Linked DNA regions of Styela clava. The protein of the gene in region 1 interacts with the protein of each later gene in a pairwise test. Links are inferred from orthologs where the notes say so. Each region holds a gene or a part of one and is shown on either strand. Other genes may lie near its edges. The genes, in order: EKC/KEOPS complex subunit TP53RK-like and EKC/KEOPS complex subunit TPRKB-like.

Region 1 (5,864 bases):
TCTGACTCCGCTCATCTCTGACTGTTATGTCATGGTTAAATCATGGTTATGTCATTGTAGCCGGAACAATGGTCGTCTAATTGTTGGGTTTCATGGCCTGAGTTCAGTTCTAACTTGCAAGTCAAATTAAAATAATCTTGAGTTGAAACACGTCCGACTGTTAACTAAAGTTAGTTAAATTAACCCAATATGCTATACCTGGGGTGGCCAACACATCGATTGCGAATGCAGATGAACGTGGCGTGGATGTGTTGTCTGTCACCAAATCGAAGACACCAAATTAAAATGTAAAGCAGACTACTTCCTTTATTTCAAAACCTGGCGTAGAAATAGGAGTTTTCAAGTCAGATGGGACCTCAGATGTCGCCAATGCATTCACAAATGTGCGCGGTGGGACCAGTTTCGCAATTTTACTTTTAGTCACGTGTTGCCAAAGTGACTATAAAGTGTTAGTCACTTTGCGTGTTGCCGATGGCCTCGTCGTCTGTCGAGCAATGTACGTTATGCGTACGTTAATAAGAAAAAAAAATAAATAAAAATGTACGTTATGCGGCTTTGAACGACTGTCTCAACTCTGCTGCTCTGTGATCCGGCGGGTACTGTCAGACGCAGGGTTGCCATATTGGCTTTTTTAACGCCAAATTTGCCATTTTTGGCTTTTTATAAACGCGTTTGGCGTCAGAATTTCCGTTTGGCTTTTTGGCGTTTTTTTTGGCTTTTTTTAAGTCTATTCTAGTGTCTATTATTAAAATCATATGAAATACAATATTTAGTGTGTAACAACTGAACAATAGCCTATTACCTGTAGCCTACTTATCACAGTATTAGCTACTTATTAACATTAGAATCCCTGGAGCATCGATTTCCTTGTTTGTCACATTAACTCTTAACCATACCCAATAAGAAATAATTGCAGTTTCTGCAGCTGCTCAGACAGATGTTCGAGCAGGGTTGTAAACATTGCCTCGTTTTTATAGTTTTTGCGTGTTATTTGTCAGTTTTGCGCTCTGTTTCCAAAAAATAGTTGTATAACTTAATTTTCATTATGCCTGATATGGTTTATGTGAGCTTTAGTTTAATTCTGCAATTGCAGTAACGATGTGATTAACTACGCTAAAATTACTGAATTAGATATCAGTGGTCCACCTGTGAGCGGCAGGGGGTTAGATAAATTTTTTACTAAAATTGATGGTTTATAAATTTTGAAAGTAAAAAAATATTCAATAGTGAAGTACGATATAGGGAGAATTTTTTAAGGTATATCACAAGTGGAAACATGTAGGTATATTAAATACTGACAGACTGAAGCGTCACCCTGTAGGCCTATTGTATATATTGAATGGTAAAATAATGATGTCCGCTTGATATTTATTTTACTTTCTACAGTCATATAGAAACTTTACTTTCTATTTTTGTGCCTCACTGAATGAACTGATGGCTCTACATCATCATCAGTACGTTGCCAAGGGCTCAAAATCTGACAAATTATGGGGCTTTTGTACTTAGTAAAATTGTTGGCTTTTTCTGGCTTTTTTTATGTCTTGATTTGGCTTTTTTTGATCGCTGGGGTCTGGCAACCCTGGTCAGACGGTAGTACGTTCTCACCCAAGATGTAATTAATACAGAGCAGCTACACTAAAATGATCGGTCTTTAATAATACGTGATGATTGAGGCGGCATGTAGCAGTGTAAACAAACAATTGAAAAATTTCTAGGATAAAGTGTAAATGCATGTCGCCGTTCCATGCTTGGAAATAGAAAATATAGGGTATCTAGTGATTATCATGATACTGTAGTATCGACTAAAACGTCCACACAAAAATCGATTGTGTATGTTCTCAAATATCAGAATAGTAAGTTTTGTATACCAAGCCCTATTATAATGAGAGCATCTTAATTCCGTTTGAACCTATTTTCATGCTTGTGTGCTGTTATTTGCCCAAAATTCTTCCATTTTCGCATACCAGTTTGCCATCCTAGTCCTGCAATTAAAAATTCGCTATTACTGTTATCTGTTGTTTGTTTCTTGATGTCACTAAGTCTGTGATTTCAGACGTTTCGGCCAACACAGTCTCAAGTGTGGAGACTGGAGATACATTTATTAATGATACTGGGATAGAATGCAATAGAAGAGGATGGTTACATGCCTTGATTGAATATTTTTGAATTTTGTTAATGAAAGTAGCGTATTTAGTCATGATTTTGATATTAAAATTGCACATACAGCCCATCACACTGTCACATCTATGATTTAACTAACAGTATATCCCACTCACAGACTCACCAGGCCATGCTGCCATGTCTTTGATCTATATGTCTCTGTTGGTGTTTCTTTTGTTGTAATATTAAAATATTGCAAAAGTATTTCGGCCACTTCAGTTCAATTACTGAATTATAACGTATATTCCAATATTTGGATGTTGTTATACCCAAACAATTCCCCATGCTGTAAGTTGCTGATGCATACACATTTTTTTAGTAATTTTCTGTTTTTGAATGATAAGATAAGGTTACTGGATCAATTATGTTACTGGAGCATTGGGGAAAATTCTAGAACTACTAGAGGGGACCAGATCGATGATAATTCAGTAGTTTCTCCGATGATTTTGAACATTCAAAAATCATTCAATCAAAATGCTGAAATGTCATGATTCCCATTTAATTTAATTTGCTAATTTGTGCATAACCTATATTCTTCTCAATAGATCTAATCTAGTAGTCTAATATTGTATATTCTAAATGCATCAAGTCTCTACTTTTCAATTTGTTCATTTTTTCTATAGAGTATATGTACTGATCAAGCATGGCAACTACAATGATTGTAGTTGGACTTGGAATTGCTGGTAGTGCTTTGTTAGCTCGAGCAGCTGTCCGCATGGCGGGACCTGCGGCACGTCAGATGGATGAAACACTGAAAACTCTCGGAAAATTTGATTTTGAAAATTACAAATATTATAGAGGTGGTTTTGAAACTAAAATGACAAAAAGGGAAGCTGCTTTAATTTTAGGAATTGGGCAGTCTAGCAACAGAAACAGAGTACGAGAATGTCACAGAAGGATTATGCTTCTGAATCATCCTGATAAAGGAGGATCTCCTTATCTTGCCGCCAAAATCAATCAAGCAAAGGACATGTTGGATCATGGATTGAAAAAATAAAAAAAAATTTGAACAAATGATTAAATTATAACACTGTGAATTGTTTGAGTTAGCCATGGAACAGAATAAGAGAACTTAATTTAAAACGGTAACTTAACTTAAAAAGGTTTCATGGCAATGCCTCGTGTACATACGGTAGATAAATAGGCATGTTTCATCAATGGATCATAACCATGTTTCAGGTTTATTGATTACGGTTACATATTGTTAATAGCAATATTTCAAATTTGTCAGCCTAGGTTTGGTATTCACGTCCATCTGATGAAGGTTTAACTTGATTTGCTATAAAATTTAACAACACTCAAGATATTTATGTTTCTTGTTTCACTTTCTCAATTTGATTAATTCTTCGTTGATTAAAATTGTTTGTCCGTAATATTTACTAATTCAGGGTATGTTAGAAATTAAATAGGTGAAAATATTTTTTAGAAGCTAGCCAGAGAATGTATTTATTAGGTTTCATCCATTTGATCACATAATAAAATTACTTAATAATTCTATTTCGTACTTCCTGAATTTTTTGAGGTGATCACTCTAAATAAATCCAAAGATGTTAGTTTTTAAAAAGATTTTTAAGAGATTTTTGGCTTAATAAAATAGCCTAGCAAAGGTTGAAGTAGGAATGGACTAATGTGCGAAGGAAGATATCTTTATTGTTGGTGCCTATTGTCAACCATTAAGTCATCAGAAGTTGCCCATGATTTATGAAAGTTCCTTTAAAAGGAACTCCAGTATTGAAAATAGTCTGCTGATTCAAACAACAAATTTATAAGGATGCTGGAAAATGTTCACTATATTAAAAATATGAAATTGTTATTGGTGAAAATCATAGAGCATCACACCAAATTCTATTTGCTATGATTATGAACCTTGCTTGAAAGTATGCACAAAGTTTATAGCCACCATGTCTGTTTTTGATGTGTTTTGCAAAATATACTATTTCTAAACGTGAGCTCCTTTTTGTATTTGATTCTCATCTATTGACTGTTTGTACATTTTTCAGAATTAATAATGAATCCCTATGTAAATCATGGAGTGCTTTTGCATCAAGGTGCTGAGGCTAAAATTTATAAATGTGAGTTTCTCGGTCGAACTGCAATTATTAAGTTTCGTTTTTCGAAAAAATATCGCCATCCCGAACTGGATGAAAAACTGACTAAGAAAAGAATAACCCAAGAAGCACGTTCCTTACTAAGATGTAGGAATATTGGAGTTCAAACTCCAGCTGTGTATTTTGTAGATTTGGATATGGGTGTGCTTGTACTTGAATACTTTGACATGGCACAGACATTGAAAGAGCACATATTTCAAGCATATGAGAAATATGATACACCTGGACAATACCCACCAGAATTGGTTCAAGTTATTGAGAATGTTGGACAAAAACTTGCTATGATTCACAACTCTGATATAATACACGGAGATTTGACTTCTTCAAACATCTTGGTTGAATGTCAGGAAGGCAGCGAAGGAAACAATGTTGTGAAAATAATTTTCATTGACTTTGGTTTGAGCTCATCGTCTCGACTTGTCGAAGACAAGGGTGTTGATTTGTATGTTTTGGAAAAAGCATTCTTAAGTACTCATCCAAATAGTGAAAATCTTTTCGGTGCTTTGATTAAGTCCTACAAATCGCATTCCACCAACTGCAAAGGTATAATATCTAAATATGAGGAAGTAAAACTGCGAGGTCGAAAGCGAACTATGGTAGGGTGAAGTAGTGTGTCATGATAGTGCTATTTTACTAATTGCTATATATGAAACACATCCACTGGTTTTCATTGTTCTAAACCTGTAGTGGTGAGAACACTTTTAATGAATAGGAACTCTTAAAAGCAGGTGTTCCCAAACTATATATTGTCTCAAGTAACAGTTAAGGGGCTGACCAGATATTTACAGCAGTCCTTGCATTTTTGAATAACAGATCTTGCATCCATGAAATTCCAAATATATATGTTCTTCCGCGGTGTTTCAAGTATTATGATATATATTGTTGATGGAACAACTTGGTATTTTACCACCCGTATGTCATCCATCTCCGAGAACATTAAAGAATTTGCAAAATCTAAAACCCGTTCTCGTGAAATTTTTTGTTGTTGCTGGAATTCTGGGGACAGCATGACGACAGGCAAGAGGGATACGGCCGCCTCTTAGATTGTGACAGTGTTTCTCAAACAGGAACTTCGGCCCCCATGTGAGGTCACGGATCGGTTATCTGGAAGCCGTAAGCAAATGCCTTTATTGTGTGCAATTCGCGACGACCACATTGATTTAACCTAAACTGATGGAATGCGTTAATATATAATAACTAATGTTGGTATGGAATATGGACGGTAATTGCATTCTTCCCCAGCTATATGGTCTAAGTCTAAAATGTCGTGATTTCCACAGTCAGTTCCAGTGAGTATTGCTGCACACTAGCACAAATGTATTTCTGTAACGTTTAGTCTGACCGAGGTCAGATTCCTTTCCAACAAGCATTTTACAATTGTGGCAAGAAACGCAATTGCATACTGCTATCCACTGGGTTTATATTTGCGCCAACGCTGTGCGCAATGCACTTAAACCCATGACGACTGCATTACGCTGGCTTTGATTCTTATGATACAGTTAGCACTAGTATGTTCCCCAGCTTTTCATTTTAGGGAGGGTGGTGCGAAATTTAGGGGGTGGTAAATAATTTCCTATCAGCGATAAAACTATTTGT
Region 2 (6,882 bases), on another chromosome or scaffold:
AAATGAGCTTTTAGAACTAAGTTAGGTACGTTAACAGCAATGTGAAGGCGGAATAACGTTAATAATAGATCACTTGACAATATGTTATAACTTTAGCACGAAAATACCGCTATCACCAGTGAAATGCCATTCGAAGGCCTTTAAAACGAGCAACGTACCAGTCTATCGCCCTACACAAGCCTGAATATTTGCATTGTTTGTCTGAGCAATGACATTAAACAACATGATGCGCAACTCCGGCATTTTTGTCCGAAGATCGTATTCGATAGCACGCTCCAATGCACATACTTGACGAGACGAAAACGAGCGGATGTGTGCTGCTTTCAAGGCGTAGCACGAATGGTGTTCGTGACTGCTTTGACAGTTGTTGTCGATTTTAATGATATTTTTGAAAGTTGGGGTAAAAAGAAATCGGTAAAAGGTAAGGTGAATACTATTGTTGTATATCACACCCGGGCATCGCACTGTTAAGTACTTGTGGGAAAGCCAGCCTTTGTCAAATACTACGAAGTTATTAATTCAGTACGGTACGTAGTTGCCCATTTGCCGAAATTACATATTTACTTACCCCTTATGGTTTCAAATAGTTCATGCACCTCCAGTTAGATTTTTTTAATCAGTGAGGATATATACTCATTGTTGATTGCTGCTCATTGTAACATACTATTACGCATTCACTTTTATTTGCGTATTGAATCAAAGTGTTAACAAGTTCACCTAACATTTCACTCATACCGGTCTATATTGTATAGTCTGATTTCTCAAGTATTTGGAGCAACGAATGCTTGTAATTTTCTGACTAAACCCTTTTATTAGTTGGTTTATATACCAAATTCAGTAAAATATTTTTTAAATAAAACATGAGATATTGGATTTATTAGCTTTTCCATTCTGAATCATATAGACTGCTTTATTTATTCTTACCGAAAATTAATAAATCTCCTCTCTTTCTTCAGATGTGAAAGTTGTGGACAAACCTGTCTAAGCATTGTGAGACTCTTGCAGCACAAGAGGCAATAGCAGAAATAGTAAGTATATCAATCAAGAAATTAAGCCGACATAAAGCAAAACTTTCAACTATTCGTCTAATCTCAATTTCCTATTATTTATTCACAGGACAACTATAGCAGACGGGGAGATATCAGAAGTCTGGCGACATATCAGTGACAGTGTGATTCCAAGAAATATAATGCAATTGAAAATAGAAAATTGCAATAGAAAAACAACCTATGGAGGCATGCAAACCCATTTGACCCTCCGGTAGAGTTGTGTATGGCCCCCACATCCTGCAGGGCTTGAGGAAAATAACTAAAAATTCCAAAGCGTAAGAATGCATAAGCGGTCTTATTTGTAAAAAGGCACAAAACACGCCAGACATACTTAAAACAGCTTTGGAAATGAGGATTACGGGTACCTCACTGCACCTGTGTTATATTTGGTTCATCAACTTTTGGTAGTACTATAGAAGAAATTCCGGAAGGGGTATAATCATCATTCATGATAAAATACTATCATATATTTTTTGAACAACTTCAATCTAGACCAGGGATCTCAAACTCGCGGCCAGAGAACTTCCAGTGCGGCCCTCGAACGCTTAACAATAATTGTAATAGTATTTTTAAAGTTTTTTTTTTTATCTAAATGTAATAGATTTTTCAAACCTTCTAAAGTGAAATTGATTATTCACACAGAAAACAATTTACTGAAAGTAGTTTTGGAATATTAATTTTTTTGTCCACATTTTGACCCAATTAAGAATACACATCAAGCTAGCAAAAGAATACTTGAATAAAACACTTGAGTAATTAAATTAAACGCAAAGTACATGAAGAAGGTGGCATTTTCGAAGAAAATGGGAGTTGTAACATTTCTGCTCTTCACAAAATTCTGAAGCACATTGTTTAATTTGTCATATTTCCGTCAATACAATCAAAAAACACAATAAGCTCAGCAGTCAATATGACAAATTCGAAGACCAACTTCGAACAGAAAATTTCCATGTGTTTGTATATTAATATAATTATACAACGACTTAGTTACTAAAAATCAATATCAATAATAATTCGAGCAATCCTATGCCACGCAATGTAGTGCGAAATGTCTTGTCGAAAAAATCTGTCATTTGTTTTTTTACTGATCTATACATGAAATGATAAAAATAACTTTTTTGCATTACTGGAATTAATTAAACATTCGTAAAGATCCAGATAAACCCATGATCATGTGGCCTCGTTAGTTAGAGTTGGTACTATAAAATCATTTCAGACTGACCTTAGTATGCTGGTGACACAAAAAAAGATGCCAAACGCCAGGACAAATGTAATTATTAAAACATTGAGTTTATACTGTAGTATTTTGTTAATTTTAGGTTCATATATTTAGATTAAGTTATTTTTAGTGTATGTATTATTCTTTCCTTATTCAAAGCTTGTTCAAAAATGATTTTGATGGTTTTACATAGAATTTTACGATTTTTTATAATAAATACTGTAACTTGCAAATGTTGCAATAATAGTGGAATGCAAATATTAATATGTAATTGCATTTGAAATTGAAGAAAATAATAAAACTTAATCCAACTGTTTAGTTGCATCACAATATATGTCACAAACTAAAACTATCTTAAAAATATCTTTTAAGTATACATTATCAAAAACTGTTTGCGGCTCTTTTTACAATTTTCAAAATGCAATGCGGCTCTCGAAAACCCATGAGTTTGACACCACTGATCTATTCTAGACGATTCAAGCATTGCTTTGGGAAATTATATCACTTCAATTAAATTGAAATAATCTCGCTATATTAAATACAAAATCGTTGCTATCATAAAGGTAAACCAATTCAGCCACTTGAAATATATTGGCCTTCACAAAGCAATGGAGGCAAAATTGAGAGTTCATGAGCTATGAACATTTGTTCTTTTCTTTGTCTTGAACTTTCCATACTCCACAGCCCCTATTAATTTTTTTTAATTTTAATTACCATGTGATGGTCATACATATCTTTAACTTGTATTTTCTGTCATGATGTATTATCTCAATGTGCCAAACTATTAATTAGTGTGCATATTTTGCTTCCAGATGACATAAATGTATTGTCATGTTTATTACCTCAGCTTGGAGTATTGACAAGAAAAAGGTGCCAGTAAATTAGGTAAAAAAATTTTCAACTCATTGTTATAATCAGAATTCACAATCAATAGGAATTATAAACAGCCAACAATCAGTGAGAATTATATGCGAAATGGAAAACGGACGCGAAAGGCGACGAGAAATATGTGCATTGGAGCGTATCATGAAATACAATGTTTTGCCTGTAGTCTTATGGAGTGACGTCAGAGTTGCCTATCATGTTGTTTAACCCTTTCCGTGCGGTGGGCACGTATACGTACCCACGACAAAACTCGCTAGTTTGCGGCGGGTACGTTGATGTACTCCACTGTTTTATTTAGCAATCGGTCGCAAACTGTTGGTCTAGTTTTTCCGGGTTTTAGTTTATTGATAAGAAGCCTTCTTCGAGATTAACATAAGCGACGGTAAATCTCGCTTTCGTTTACCATGGGAGTTTTATTTGCGGCGGAACGAGGGAGTGTTTTTGATTTATGCAAATTTCGGTGTTTTTTGGGTGGTAATAGAAGACATATTATCCCTTCCATCTACCAAAGTATTTTGAGTTAGATAACGAAATTGCTACAGTAATATTATGCTATTGTTTGCCAACCAAGAAGCGGTAACAGTAAAGGATTTAGCGAATATTTCTATTTTTTATCACGGCTTGAAGTTTCAACACCCAAGAAAAAAAATGTCTTTTTTCTATCCTGTTTGTGACTCAGACCACCCCTTCTGAAAAAAAAAAAAATTTTTCAATCGCCAATTGCAAGCTCTTTAAATAAGCTTTCCAACGAGCCGTCAGTGGGCAGCAGAGGATCATTACTTTTTCGTTAGTCGATCGATTAGTTGTGGGGGTACAAATGCATAAAGTCGGCGTAGCAAATACGATTATTTAATAAAAAATAAAAATCGCATGGAAAGGGTTAATGTCATTGGTCTGAGCGACCAAAATCATAACAATAAAGGTCAAAGGTCGGGGAAAGGTCCAAAGGTCTTTTCGCATTTTCTACGGCTACGTTTTAAAAGTCCTACGAAGAAGGGAATCCACAGATAACTCTCTGTAGTCGAGTTGTCTTCCTCTCGAGCATCGACAGCATAACTTCGCAGAGCGCTTGCTCAACTGTTGAATCAGTCGAGCGAATGCGAGAGAGAGAGAGAGAAAATATTTTTTTTTTCGTCAAACTAGGAAACATGATGATACAACAACAAATAATAATAAAAAACACATTATGCAGTTTTCGGTATGTGACTGGTTGATAACGATACGACCATACCGGTATACGGTCGAGTTTAGACTACGGGTGACCACTAAACTAAAGTGATCATAGACTACGAAACTCACATTCATGAATATATATGTGTTACTGTTTCCTGCTACGTATGAAGGTTTTAATATATTCAAAAGTACGTACTCAAAACATTCAATATCAATAACTTTCAAAAATTAAAACGCACACAGTCCTATAAGTCAACAGTATAACTTTGCTATTGGTACCGTTACCAATCAATCAATCATTTATTCGTCGTCACAAAAACATCAAATGCACAAAAAAATGACACCGTACTCCAGTTTCGTCTGTAGACTGTATCTGTATTCATATAACTTGAGCAAAATCATTTATACACATAAAAATTATTTCTTGAGAATATTAATGTATTTTTCTCAACATTGGAGCCCTAAAAATATCGAAATTACATTGTTATAGGCTTAAAACGTCGCCGTAGAAAAGGCGGAAAGACGGACAACCCACCAGACCCATCTGTAGTCGAGTTGTCTCTGGTGAGTTGTCCGTGTAGTCGAGTTGTCCGCTTCCCTTGGTGGCCTACTGTTTTCATTGGAGTTTCTGTGTCTGTGTGTCTAGTGGCACATAAAAATTGCTAACACCTTAGGTACCGGAAGGACTGGAGGAGGCATTTTATCCTTTGTGAAATTTTCTTACAGTAAATATATAGATTTCAAGATTTTAGTGTTTTGACTATCTGACCATATTCAGAACATTTCAGTTTTTTGAATATTTGATTGTTAACTTGTAATTTCCGAATCACAGTGAAATGCAGACTTTTAATCTTAAGCCATTATTTCCTGACCAAAGTGTTCAAATTTCACTGTTTCAAAATGTCACAAACGCAAAGGAACTAAAAGAATTAACAACTGAAGGAATTTTACAAGGATGTTTAATTGATGGTTCTTTGATATTAGATTCATTTCATATATTGACAGCAGTCAATAAAGCGTTGTATTATCAGAAATTAGGACGTATGAAAACAAAGTCTCTATATTCGGAAATATTGTTTAATTTATCACCCACAAATAAAATTAATGAAAGTTTGAAGACATTTGGTATCAATGAAATGACAAAGAAGATAATTGCAGTAGTTTTGAAGGATGACTTGAATTCCAAAGTAATTCCAGAATCTGTAAATGGTGAAATTGTTGGTTTGGAAAACTTGGAAAAAATTATTGATGTAGAGAGAATAAAGAAAATTTATCGTCTCGAACAAAATGAAGAAGTAACTGTTGAAGCTGTTGTTACTAGAATGGCTACTAAAGATGTGAAATGATCGATGTTGTTTACCCACAGATTCCAGGATTCAGTTGGTCAATACTTGGTACCATACCAAAATGTAATACTCTGTTGAAATAGCATTCTTTGTGCTGCTTCTCATTGAAGAATGGTATCAATAGAAATATTGGTCAACGAATCTAATGACCATGCTGAGTTTAGATCAATTTCACAATTATTTTGTCTCCGCAAGATTTTTCGTGATAATTTGTTACTAGTACTTGAAATACATGTTGGCAGAACGCTCTACTCTGGATCAGATTCCTCAGCAATTCTTTCAGTTTTCTTTTCTATTTAAGATACTGTCGTTGCTAGTGTTAATTCCATATGGCGAACAATTAGTTTTCTAGTGCATGCATATAAATAGTCGAAATTTGTTGTAGTTGATTTCACAATATTTTATCGTCATTAAACATTGACAACAACATCTGCTTAATCCTTATTTAATTCAACATCATGTGCGTTAGAATTTAAAGACCTAATTGATTGCTTAAGGGATTGCATAATGTAATCTTCTCAAAATATCTTTGGTAACAAAATTTTCACAACTTTTTTATTTTATCCTGCCAGGCAATATTATTAATTTATTATTTCAATTCTAAAAATGTCCAGCAGTGACAATGAAGATGTTTTACCAGCGTCAGATACAACTGAAAGGGTGGTGTTGGTTAGTGGACATGCCAACAATATTCTTGATTCCATGAACGAATTACGATCTGAAAATGTTCTTTGTGATGTCACAATAAAGTGTCAAGATGTTGAACTGCCAGCTCATCGAGTTGTTCTAGCTGCATCATCTTCTTATTTTCGAGCTATGTTTACAACTGGGATGAGAGAAAAGGACCAATCCGTTGTTGAAATTAAAGGGATGTCAAGTAACACAGTTATCATTTTATTGAATTTTGTATACACTGAATCAGTAAAAGTCACAACAAATAATGTTCAAGACCTTCTTCCTGCAGCTTGTCTTTTACAGTTAAAAGGTGTGGAACAAGCATGTTGCGCATTTTTGAAATCACAACTGGATCCTGTTAATTGTTTGAGTATAAAATCTTTCGCGAGTACACATCAATGTTTAGATCTTGCCAAGTGTGCCGAGGAGTTCACTTTAAAGCATTTTAAGGAAGTTATAGAAAATGAAGAATTTTTAGAATTGAATGAATCAGACGTTATTGAATTGCTTGAATCATCAGAACTTGAAATCGACT

The links.
Region 2: the proteins of EKC/KEOPS complex subunit TP53RK-like (region 1) and EKC/KEOPS complex subunit TPRKB-like interact in binary tests that used the Homo sapiens proteins (3 or more experiments, as listed by UniProt). The link is inferred for Styela clava from reciprocal best matches to the Homo sapiens genes TP53RK and TPRKB.

What each region holds. Positions count from the first base shown.
Region 1 is NC_135251.1:30,623,844-30,629,707, forward strand, and holds EKC/KEOPS complex subunit TP53RK-like, read left to right. Parts: upstream 1-4,168; coding exon 4,169-4,873; 3' UTR 4,874-5,228; downstream 5,229-5,864. Other genes in the region: mitochondrial import inner membrane translocase subunit TIM14-like, read left to right, coding at 2,804-3,157.
Region 2 is NC_135254.1:16,142,906-16,149,787, forward strand, and holds EKC/KEOPS complex subunit TPRKB-like, read left to right. Parts: upstream 1-5,050; 5' UTR 5,051-5,162; coding exon 5,163-5,672; 3' UTR 5,673-6,244; downstream 6,245-6,882. Other genes in the region: kelch-like protein 12, read left to right, coding at 6,279-6,882. UniProt on the Homo sapiens protein: Component of the EKC/KEOPS complex that is required for the formation of a threonylcarbamoyl group on adenosine at position 37 (t(6)A37) in tRNAs that read codons beginning with adenine.